Linked DNA regions of Oryzias latipes. The protein of the gene in region 1 interacts with the protein of each later gene in a biochemical or structural test. Links are inferred from orthologs where the notes say so. Each region holds a gene or a part of one and is shown on either strand. Other genes may lie near its edges. The genes, in order: synj1, endophilin-A1 and lrrk2.

What was found.
Region 2: the proteins of synj1 (region 1) and endophilin-A1 form a complex in vitro, tested with the Homo sapiens proteins (2 studies listed by BioGRID and IntAct, with this or other methods). The link is inferred for Oryzias latipes from reciprocal best matches to the Homo sapiens genes SYNJ1 and SH3GL2.
Region 3: of the proteins of synj1 (region 1) and lrrk2, one has a biochemical effect on the other in vitro, tested with the Homo sapiens proteins (2 studies listed by BioGRID). The link is inferred for Oryzias latipes from reciprocal best matches to the Homo sapiens genes SYNJ1 and LRRK2.

The regions. Positions count from the first base shown.
Region 1 is NC_019872.2:10,887,228-10,890,875, reverse strand, and holds part of synj1 (synaptojanin-1), read right to left. Parts: coding exon 3,545-3,648; intron 3,463-3,544; coding exon 3,304-3,462; intron 2,665-3,303; coding exon 2,508-2,664; intron 2,349-2,507; coding exon 2,222-2,348; intron 2,138-2,221; coding exon 1,925-2,137; intron 1,828-1,924; coding exon 1,749-1,827; intron 1,446-1,748; coding exon 1,280-1,445; intron 1,136-1,279; coding exon 953-1,135; intron 818-952; coding exon 776-817; intron 394-775; coding exon 265-393; intron 74-264; coding exon 32-73; intron 1-31. UniProt on the Homo sapiens protein: Phosphatase that acts on various phosphoinositides, including phosphatidylinositol 4-phosphate, phosphatidylinositol (4,5)-bisphosphate and phosphatidylinositol (3,4,5)-trisphosphate. Has a role in clathrin-mediated endocytosis.
Region 2 is NC_019876.2:2,702,375-2,706,571, reverse strand, and holds the start of endophilin-A1, read right to left. Parts: upstream 2,819-4,197; 5' UTR 2,541-2,818; coding exon 2,496-2,540; intron 1-2,495. UniProt on the Homo sapiens protein: Implicated in synaptic vesicle endocytosis. May recruit other proteins to membranes with high curvature. Required for BDNF-dependent dendrite outgrowth.
Region 3 is NC_019864.2:2,138,687-2,142,334, forward strand, and holds part of lrrk2 (leucine-rich repeat serine/threonine-protein kinase 2), read right to left. Parts: intron 2,391-3,648; coding exon 2,318-2,390; intron 2,232-2,317; coding exon 2,041-2,231; intron 1,631-2,040; coding exon 1,478-1,630; intron 1,403-1,477; coding exon 1,176-1,402; intron 445-1,175; coding exon 385-444; intron 305-384; coding exon 180-304; 3' UTR 172-179; intron 1-171. UniProt on the Homo sapiens protein: Serine/threonine-protein kinase which phosphorylates a broad range of proteins involved in multiple processes such as neuronal plasticity, innate immunity, autophagy, and vesicle trafficking.

The DNA.
Region 1 (3,648 bases):
TACAGCATCTACATCTCTCCTGGTGAGTTACCTTCACTGCCTCTCCTACCAAGCAGTGGGCTGGGACCAGCCTCTTCAAGAGGAAAAACAGAACATTTTTGTCTCAAAAGAAAGCTTAGACAGAACAAAACAACAGATCCAAAACGTGACATTCGGAGAAGAAAGAAGGGACTTTTATCCGGCTGCTCTCAATTGAGTTTCAGGAGAAACATGTCTGGCTCAAATGAAATCTATTCCCAAAAAATTGGGGGTGGGGTTTTTTACCTGATGGTGGTGGAGGCCGTTGAGGTGGAGCAGGTCTAGCAGGAGGGGGACCGGGTCGAGGGGGTGGTGGCCGTTTGGGCTCCAGGCTTCCAGATGGGGGCGCGCCAGGCTGGAAGTCAACAGGAGGTCCTGAAGGAAAGCCAGAATATGAGAAAGCCTATTTTCACAAACAGGTTGGACCAAAAATAAAGCTCCAAACATAAGTATTTAAAGGATATATGCCCTCTTTAAAAAAATAGATATTATAATGAAAAAGTGATAGACTAAAGCCTTTAAGTATTGAATTTGTACCACTATGACATGATTGGACACCAGTATTAAGCTAAGGACCATCTGTTCAAATCATCTCCTACCACCTTTCTACTTCTAGGCAAAGAGAAAAAAAATGAAGCACGTTGCACACACTTAAAGAACCAGTGCTATAAAATATTTCTCAAAGAGAAACATTTTATTGTAAGACATTAAATATTCTTACAATACACACATATGGCACTACCACACATTTTATTACCTGGAAATTCCAATCTCAGAGACAAAGGACTTATTTCCATTTCTACATTCCACAAACAAAAGAAAATTACAGTTTATATTCCTGCAGATAGACTTAGTTTGAAGGAAGGGATTAAAGTGGGCTTTTAGCAAAATAAAAGCAGTAAAGTGTGATGCAGTTTTGTGTAGTGAATTTTACCTTGTGATGGTCGGGAGGGTTGTTGGGAACGACTGGGCCTGCTGGGAGCAGCGGGTTCCCCGTGGGTGGGTGAGGGACAGGGACTACTGCGGGGAGAGGGCAGAGGAGAAGAACCGGGACCAGAGCCGGCTCCGGGCTGCAGGTGCTGTGGAAGGATCTCCTCCACCTCCTCATCCACTTCACCTGAAAAAAGAGGTAGAAGAGAAAAAGGGCTTGATCAAAAACTCTAAGGTGTACAGGTTTCTCTATGATATGTGGCATGAAGGATAGAAATAAAAAATAAAAAAGGAGCCCCCCCCCAAATGTGAATTCATGGTAACAACTCACCCTCCATGTCAAATTCATCCTCATCCACATCAGCATCTTCGGCAAGCAGGGTGGAACTGGCTGATGTGGGCATGCTTCCAAAGATCCTCTCCACACTCATCTCCTCCTCCAAACTCTTGATCCAGCCCGGGCTTCTGAGGCGAATGTCAATCACCTTTCCAAGAACCTTGTAGCCACAAACACATGAATCAAAGACAAAAAACAGTTCAAAACATACAGAACAGCTTCAAAAGGTTTTTAGACAAGAAGCAAAAGTGGCTTAAATTCAGCAGAACTACCTATTTAGGATTGGTTTAGTTTTGACTGACAGATATTTCATGGCTAAAACTTTTGTTTTTATTTAACCTAAAAACCAAAAAGCCAGAACAAATATGGAGTGAAAAGTCACTTCAAATTTCAGTACATTTTTTAAATTGAATGTTTTCAATAATTAAAAGTGGGGAAATAAGAATAAAAAAGCAGAACTTACAGTGGAAGCACTCAGTGAAAGAGCTGCCAGAGCAGAATAACCTTCCAGGAAAGTAACCCACATCTTTTCCTCAACAAATCTGGGTAAAAATAAAAAATAAAATTAAAAAGTCAGAGAGGACAAATATCTGACAGTAATTATGAGTCTGCATCTCTGTGTTGTGACCCCAAACAGACCTGATGAGGATGACCTCTCCAAAATTGGAAAATTTATCCAGAAGCTCGTCAATTAGGTCATCACTGAAGTAGTCATCAGGCCCAGAAGAGCACAGCGATACCAGGATGGTGCCATCTGGAGGCCCCTGCTTGCCAATGACATCTTTATAGACCTGGTGGCGAGTCTCAGGGTCCACTTCCAGGATGTCCACATCTATTACTGCCACAACAGGCCTATAAGATAAAGATACGATTTTCAGACAACCTTAAATATCAAACATAAACACTTTATTGAAACATCTAAGCCTCCGTAGTTACCTGTGGTCTGAGGTCTTCAGCTCGGCCCTGCCGTAGTACTTTAAAGCGCCAGGGCTCCATGCAAATTCTGGATCCCCCTCATTATCTGCAGAAGTGGATGGTGCCCCAACAACATTCAGCTCCTCTGCTGTTAACCAAAGACAAAGACAGCTTATTCCTTTAAAAGCTTTTTCTTTTTCTCCACACACAACAGCAGCAAAAAAAACAAAAACATTGTAATTGACACGTTTCAACAATAAAACACAAGGGAAAATGTTTTTCCTGCATTATTTGTTCTGCAACTAACCCGTTTTGCTGAAGTTCCACTTTCTCCTCTTCCAAAGTATGCGGTCCGTCCAAGCTGGAGTGCGGCACTTCTCACTGGTGTCATAATCGTCTGAGAAAAGGTCGTATTTGTAGGTGGGGGCGAAATCTATCTTTCCCTCAATAAACCCCCTGAAGATCTGCAGGATACAGTTGATAGTGTCAGTGGTTTGAGGGCCAAATAAATGAATTTCTATTTCATAACAAATAATTTATGCTTATATTATGTACTGCCCTTGCTCCTATGCAATAAAAAACCCTAGCAAATAAAATGCTGACAGCCATGCACATTTTTTTGATAAACATTTTTTAGTGACCATAGGAATTTACAAAAGTTTTTTGTGATTTTTAAAGACCCACTTCAAGGAAAATAAAGTTTTTGGTGCTTAAGACGTGGTATTTTTCTGGGGATGGAGGACATCTATTAAGCAAATTAAGCTTAAAATTGCATTTCTGAATATTTCTTTATAAAGCCTTGTGAATCAGACAAAAAAATGCAGTTTGAAAAAGATTGCATTTGGGTTGCAGAAAAGACCCTGGGTGGGCCACAAGCTCCCTGCTCCACAACAGGGAGGGGAAGGGGAGGGGGGGTGTGCTTGCTACATGCCAGCGGTCTAAGTTCTAATGAAATGCAGAAACGATGTCCTGGAAAATGAGACAGGTTTTTTGATGATCAGGGTGGGTATTTAAGATCAGCTGCCCAGAGCTTTTGGTTGGTGTACTGAAACGAGATGACAACAGACGACAACACAGTCGGATCTCAAGTCGGACAGTCGTACCGCTCCTGCATTTTTTTGCTCCAGCAGCTGATCCCCAGCCGTCAAAGCCTCCCAGTTCTGCTGTCGGATGAGTTCCTTCACTTCCTCATTGGGCAGGTTGATTCGGTAGTTGAAGTCTCCGCACCAGAATACGTAATCATGGGAGTACAGCAGATGACCCTGGAGGACAGACATGGAAGCTGCAGTTTAGGCAACTAAAGCGGCACGGAGCCCAAAAAGCCCCGCTGTAAACAGCTGTTACCATGGGGAAACTGAGTCTGCGCGTGATCTCGTTGTAGTCATCATTCCTCTCTTTGACTTGGGATTGGCCAGCGGCAAAATGGGAGCACACAAAGCAGATGCTGG
Region 2 (4,197 bases), on another chromosome or scaffold:
ACCCAGAAAACCCGTCCGATCCACATCACATCAGTTCTGCTTCTTCTGATGCAGTTAAAGAACTTTATTGAACCGACCCGAGTCGTATTCAGCTGCTCCTAATGTTCACCAACAAGGTTTTGTGCCCAACTGTTGTTGATCAATCTAAGGCCATACTCACCAATACCCATGATGCAACTGGGTATGGCTGAAGCCACCCAACATGACCGCTAAAAGCTGTAGTTTGACACCGTTGGGGACTCTAGTGTGCTACAGAACCGCTAGGTACTACAGAACTGCAAAGTACCGTACCACACCGAGAACCAATGTGTCTGTGATGTTGATAACAAAACTCGTTCAGACTCAACGGAAACAAAACTGGAAACTGCTAAACAACCAGCAGGGATACGCCTGAAACATGACAAACATGTCCCGTCTACACGTCTAGAGAACTGAAGGTCCTTCCATCATGTATTGATAGATAGTAAACCGTCAGACAGAATACTGAATCCCACGTGTTCACTACGACCTGTCTGCCGTAGAAAAACACATGCATGAACACGTTCTCTCTATGGTTCACCGAGCGGTGTAGGATCTTGATATTTCCCATCATGCCACAGCAGAACCTTTAATGTTTTCTGGTAGAACTCAGTGAAACAAACATTTAGACGGACGGACGGATTCCAGTCCGTGTCTCCCTCAGGTTCTGTCTGAGCTTTCAGGACGTCTCTGCTCTTTATTTCTCTCATTTCCTGCCGTCGTGACCCACTTCCCCCTCAGGGATCAATAACTATCCTCTATTTCCAGGTGACAAATGAACAGCAGTTTGTCCAGATGACAGCGGGACAGACGGCAGGCTTGAGGGAGACGGATTCGTTTCTAACCCTCATCTTTCTCTGATGTGCTTTTCTGCTTTTTAATGAAACCAGAGAAGTTGTGAAAGTCCCAGAAGTGCAGGACAGCCTGAAATAAACGGCGTCTTCACCAATCTGGATCATCTCCAATGTTGCATCACTGTTGGAGCGGTTGGAGAATGGAGGTGAAGCTTGTTTCCCTCTGGAATTCATGAACTTCTTGAACTCAAACTGGATTCCAACGTCAGCGTTAAGATCTCCATCAACACTGCCGTTTCAAGATTTGCCCAAACTGGTCCCTACATCCGACACAAACTGTGGGACTGTTACCATAGAAACCAAGTGGACGGATCATTGCTGACGTCTCACGGATTGTCCCGAACGGCAAGAATCAAGCCTGAATTGGGACGAACAAATTAACCGGAACTTTCTCCTCCCAACGTTACAGCACTGGGTGATGGGGCGGGACAAAGGACAGCAGGAGTTTAGTTAACTCCACCCTCCTGCCAGTCAGTACAAACAACCCCCCCCCACCCCCACGAGATGTTTGAGCTTTCATAAAAACCCCCACAAACGAAAAGGTCCCAACATGAACACCCTGTTCTACCTGTTCAGTTTTTCTGTGAAGTTGGACTTTTAACATGGGAGTCAGTGGGAACGGCTCCCATTGGAAACCAACCCTAGTGGTCATTAGATGAACTGCAGCTTTAGGTACTCTGGGGGGGCTAACCGCCCTTTGAAGTGTCCACTCACTAGGACACGCCTCCACTTTGATCTCTGGCAACAGAGTCATGTGACACAGCGGAGGAATCTTCACCTTCATCAACAGGCAGCTCCCAACCTCATCTTCATCAACCTCTCTTCTTCCTCATCCGCTAGAGTAAACCTCCACCCATCCATCCAGCCTGCAGAGCAGAGAGGGGGGGCTCCGGGCCGAACGGATGGACAGATGGAGGGAAGGACTGGAGAGGGAGGACGGTGGAGGAGAGAGTCAATGAAAAAAACAAGATGATACAAAGAATGAATGGACAAACGGAAAGATGGAGGAGGACGTGAAGGAGGGATGCAGATGGAGAGATGTTGGAGGAATGACAAGAACAGAAAGCTGTAGGATGAATGAGAGGATGATGGGAGGAAGAACAGATGAAAGAGGAGAAGTTAGAAAACTGAGGTGGAGGTGAGGAAGAGGGGGTGTAGTGAAGTTTGGATGAGGAGCCAGGATGAAGGCATGCATGGGGGGAGAAGATGGAGGAGGATGGAGGGAATTCCCTGTTGCGTTCAGCAGCAGCCAATCAGCTCCGGACTTTACGGATTCTTACATAATATTATAACCGAGCCTCAGCGCCGGGGTTTGCCCGGTTCTGCTGCCCGGTTCCCCACTCCAAACATCACGAGAACATCCTGTAAAGAACCGAAACTGTGAACCGGACCGGATCAGTTTGGACCCAAACGTGACAGGAGGATCCACCTGCGTGGATTAAATCTGTTTTCAGCATAAAATGCGAGATTTGTGGGAATAAAACATGATTTGAAACAGAAATGTTGTGTTTTAAACTTCCGTTTAGATTCATTTAAAGGTTCAGAACAACAGAAATGTTTGTTTTTAGATTTTAAACATGGAAACAAAGGCTGAACCGGGTCAGAACGGGCTAAAGCGCTCACCTGGGTGGCTTTGTGGAACTGCTTTTTCAGCCCCGCGACAGACATCTTTCGGCTGCGGAGGAAGAAAAAAGAAAGAACTGACGGCGGAAAAATTTCACGGAGAACGGAGTCTGGAAGTGGACCGGTTCGACCCGGCGGAACTCGTCCGTAAATCCTCCGGTGATGCGCGTCGATAAGTGTCCGTTAGCGCTCGGTGGGACCCGGTGGGAGCGGAGCGGAGGACGGCCGGACCAAACCCAGCTGCTGGATCTATTTTCAGGCGCACGAGCGAGGCGGAGGGCGGAGATCGTTGATGAGCGAGATGGATCACTCCAACGAATAAACCGAAATGATCCACGTCCCGTTTGTCCAGCTGTTTATTTTTTAAATATGCAATAAAATTTTGAGTTTTCCAATGAATAAATAGGATTATGCTTGTTCATTTTTTATTTATTTCAAAGACTTGTTTTAGGTAGTGTAATGTCTGAACTTGACATAAATTATAAAGAAATAAAACAAAAAAAGGAAAGAAATCCGTTTAACAATGTCCCATTGGCAAATGTTTAGATTAGATTAGATTAAATGACTTTATTTATCCCACCATGGGGCAGGAAAAACAATGTTCATAAATAACAGCAAAAGAAAGGACATCAAAACTGATATTCTCATTATAAATAAATACAGCTACGAAGGTGGCGTGTGATCCACTGCAAACGTGTGGTGCAATTTTTTGTTATATCCGAAAAATGTAAAAAGGTACACACCAATCAAACATCTGTTTAGGAATAAGAACATTTGAAAAACAACAACAACTACAACAAAATTACATAAATAAATTTAAAAAATGGTAAAAAAAAAATAGTTTACTGGGAAAGACTTCCAACAGCTTTTAAAGATTGTTAAAAAAAGATTTTTTTGTTGTTTTGAAATTAAGACCAATAAATTAATTAAAAACGTTTAACAAAGTTTATTTTAGCTTTTTTGAATTTGAATAATATTCTGTTTTGTGAACAAAAAATGTTTTTATTTCTTTTGATTAGAACTCTTCAAGAGTTTCTGTGGATAAAAAAAAAAATGTAAAACAATTTTACCAAAAATGTCACAGTTTGGTTTAATCCACATTATATAACTAACATCTACAGAGATTTTTGATAACTATGCAGGAAAAGACAAATTTCTCGTCAGTCAGACGTCTGTCTTCACAGATAGACGATCTTCAGAAGGGCGAGAGCGCAGGTCTGCTGTGACAGGAACGCGCCGCCCTCCACCGTCCACGAGCCGTCCTCGCACGCGCGACCCTCCTATGTGAAAGAGTTAATTCTACAGAATAATAATAAGATCACAGGTGGGGTCACGTGATCGAGCGTTTCTGCAGGCGTCTGAACTGTAACTGAACACACTGTAACTGAACAGACACCGACGCGGTTTCAGCACCACGGACAGCTCATTGGAGGGTCCGATGGCGCGTTTAAGGGCAGCTCGGACATTCAATTACTTTTTCACATGGACATTCCCCATTGATTTCTTTTTTTTTATTTTTTATTTTTTGTAAAGCCTAATATCAGTATTTCTACATCCTCCATATATTTGCATATGTTTTGATTTTTAAAAATGTGCTAATTTACCGGTTCAGTAAGCAAGAATTTCAACCAAACTATGTGCTTTAGTCTGTCTGATATCATTTTTGATATTTCTTTGTCATAAAATAGATTATTACCCCCCC
Region 3 (3,648 bases), on another chromosome or scaffold:
GATGGGAAGTGGTGACGGGCTCTGCTAATAGTCCCGCCCTAAACTCCGAGCTGAATGTGTCATGAACTCCTGTCGCTCTGCAGAAACTGTTCTAGAAACCACACAGGTTTTTGTTTTCTTGTGGCTAAAAACAGCAAAATCCTAATTGGATGGAATAGAAATCCTCCAAACCTGCAGGCTCAGGATTGGTGGAGCTGCTCTCTCATTCTCACTGCGGTGCGCTCCCTCTTCTCACAGTGCTTCTTCAGGTCTCTGACCTCCGCCGGCAGCTTGCTGCTCCACACCATCAGCACAGACTCCTCATCTGAGGGCAAACGGACAAACAGGCTCAGGCGCTGGGCGTCCCAATCCCACAGCTGTCTGCGGAAACGCCCTCATACTGACTCTTGTCTTGTGGGAGTCTCCGTCCCAAAACCAGCACCACATTCTTCCAGATCAGCGGCTCTGCGGGGGCAAAAACAAGCATGTTGCAGGAAGACACTGATGCAAATGAATGTGAGCCGCAGGTGCTGCGTATCTGTGTGTTCCTGATGTTTGCTTGTGTCCGTTGTCACACTCTGCTGCTGCTTTCACCGCTCCACTGGATCTGACCTGTTCTGGAGCTCACGCTGTGCCAGCACCGGTTAACTGCTGCCAGGATCCGCTTCTCGTTTGCAATTAACAGACTCCACGGACTGGCAGCATAAAACTACGGCAACCCAACAGGAGTAGTTCAAGACCCACTCTGATGAAAAGGGTGTTTTTTACGCATGCTCTTTATGGCAGAAAAGTGAGAATAAAATAGCATTCCTACGTAATTCTTGATTCGAATCGCTGTGAATCAGGAGCAGACAAAAAGATGCAGTTGGAAAAAGAGCTTATTTGTGACGTAGAAAATAGGCTGTGTGGCCCACAAGGTCTCTGCTTCACCCCGCAGTGGGGGGGGGCTTCCAGGTAAATTTCTACTGAACTCCTGCGGCTCTGCAGAAACTATGTCTTAGTAAACAACACAGGTTTTTGGATTTGGGCTAAAAACGGCATCATCATAATCAAAAGACCACTGGGAGCGCTTTGAAAATGGATCAACAGATGATGGGAGTGGGACCTGGAGGCTTCGTGATCAACAGACAATGTTGGATGTGATGACCAGCAGGACAGTGGCGCTCAGCACCAGAGGACAAATGTGGAGAACGCACGTATGAACGCAGAGGTGATGGAGCGGACCGAGTCGCAGCCGAGCGCCGCGACCCACAGAGGCTGGTGTTTGGGGAGCTCCAGCAGCAGCAAATGGCCCCCCCTAGTGCCGATCCAGAGAGCTGCATTGCTTTGCAGCAGCAGAGCCTTCACTATGGCCCAGGGGGGCGGGGCGTCAGAGGGGCGTTCCGCTCGTCCGCCCGGCCCGCGTCTGCCGCCCGAGTCCTGCCTGCAGGGAGAGTAGAGTCACTGCGGATGCGTGGAAACACAGATTTACTGTAACTAACAGCGTGTGTGTGTGTACCGAATGATGTGACAACAGTCGATGCACTCCATCAGCCTCTCACTCCTCTTATCCCAAACTTCAACGGTCGACGCTCCGGCTTTACTCAGGTACACGTTTTTGTCCACAACCATGCGAGACACACACGCCTCGCCACTCAGAGGCGGCTGCTGCCTGCAGGGCGACACCCCCATGACTTCACTTCCTGCACTGCGGTGGATGTTTCTTTTATTTGAGCTTCAACTTTAAAGATTTAATGAAGTTCAATTTAAGACTTTTTAAAGTCCACTTTAAGGCCGTGTGTACGAAGAAAACGAACATCCTGTCATGTTTATCAAACACACATGCAAGCACTAAACTATGTAAGAACACGGCAAAATAAGCTTTTCAACAGTTTTCAAACATTACAAATTACATACATTTCAATTGTTCTTCTGATAGTTCTTATATAATCACAAAATGTTGTGGCAACAAAGTTCCAGACCCATTCACCCAGAAGTGAAGACAGTTTCATGCTGTTTGTGCTCTCTTTTGGCTTCAGTCAAATGTCAGAGGTTCTAAGGGTCCTGAGGAGAATCACTCACTGCAGGACACCGTTGGGTCTGGTGTCGATGGACCTGGAGACGTCGTAGTCCACAGAAAAGGACAGGATGTTGGTTCCACAGCCGGCCCACAGAGTTCTGGAGTCGGCAGAGTGCAGAGACGGGCCCAAACACATGAGCGGCGTGTTGACGTTTCCCACGGTGAGGGTTTTGACGGGCCTCCCGTTTGTTTGCTGCAAGGAGCACAAGAGGAGAGTGAAGTCCTGCTTGCTGAGGCAGCACATTTCTGAGTCCAGACTCAATGGAAAGAGGTTTTTACCGGGAGCACAGAGTCCTCATAAACACTGAGAATCCCATCTGCTGTCCCAACCAGCAAGTAGCTTTTTCTTTGGCTAAAAATATAGGGAAAAAAAGGTAAAAGTGAACAAACTATCACTTAGTTTTCATTTTTCTCACTGAAAGGCAGTATGTTTGTATTTTCAGAGACTGTCAAATGTAGAGTACACGTCAACCACATGATCGTAACCCTTGTGCTATCCTAGGCACTTTAACATTGGGAGTTGGGTCATCTAGACCCACTACACAGTGCTCTGAACCTTTTTTCTTCAATGATTTGTGATCTTCACTGGTGTCCATGGATTACATGAAATCTTTCCACCTTTATCCACCTTTGTCATGGTAGGGAGAACACCTCAATGGAAGGGTGGGGTCAGCTAAGATAGCACAAGGGTTAAAGGAGCAGCTGCTCAGTTTGTCATACACTTGTTTGGGAAATCCGTTCAGTGTCTTAAGAAGGGAAAATCACTAGTAAGTGACAAGAAGTTAATAACATTTAGATTTTATAGATTATAATCCAAAACGTGAGCTAATATTAGGATTGAAAGATAAATGTAGGACAGAATGGGCTCCATGTCTGCAGCTGTGTGACCTATTTCCAGTTAAAATGACGACCGCTGAGTTAATTCTGCTTGCATTAACTGCATACATCAATTTCCCCAAAACAGAGAACAAGTCTGTGTATGAATTGATCTTTGTGTAGTTTTTTTAGCATTGTTTGTTTACACATTGACATTAAAAAGGAGGTTTGCTATCCGAAAGCGTCACAAGCTGTCATTGCTGTGTCCCTGAATGTGCAGCTTCAGCTAAATGTAAAGTTTCCACACTCTGATTCTGGGATGTGTGAGTATAGAAGTATGTCGGGTGTGCTTTGCTAAATTCAAAGTGTTGATGATGTCTTGATCATTTTGTGTGTGTTGTCCGCTGTGAGACACCTGGTGGTTTTGTACGTTGCAGTGAAAGAAACCTACCGTCGCTCAATCCAAATGGTATAGATGAATATAATCAACTTGTTTTATTTTGAAACATTTTCTAATGCTATAGCTCAATTCTGGTACATGGTCTGTCCGTCCTGGGGGAGGATCCCTCCTTCATGTGGACACCCCTGAGTTTGCTTCTTTTTTTGAGTTTTTCTTCACTGAGAAGGGGGTCTAAGGGCAGGGACGCCCATTTGAGTTTAGTCTGTTTCGTTAGTTCAGTTTAGAATTTTCCTATTAAATTCTATGTATTCATGATCCTTACGATGTTATGTTTACTTTACGATTAGCGGTATAAAACCCATCGAGACGACTGTTGTTGTGATTTTGGGCTATA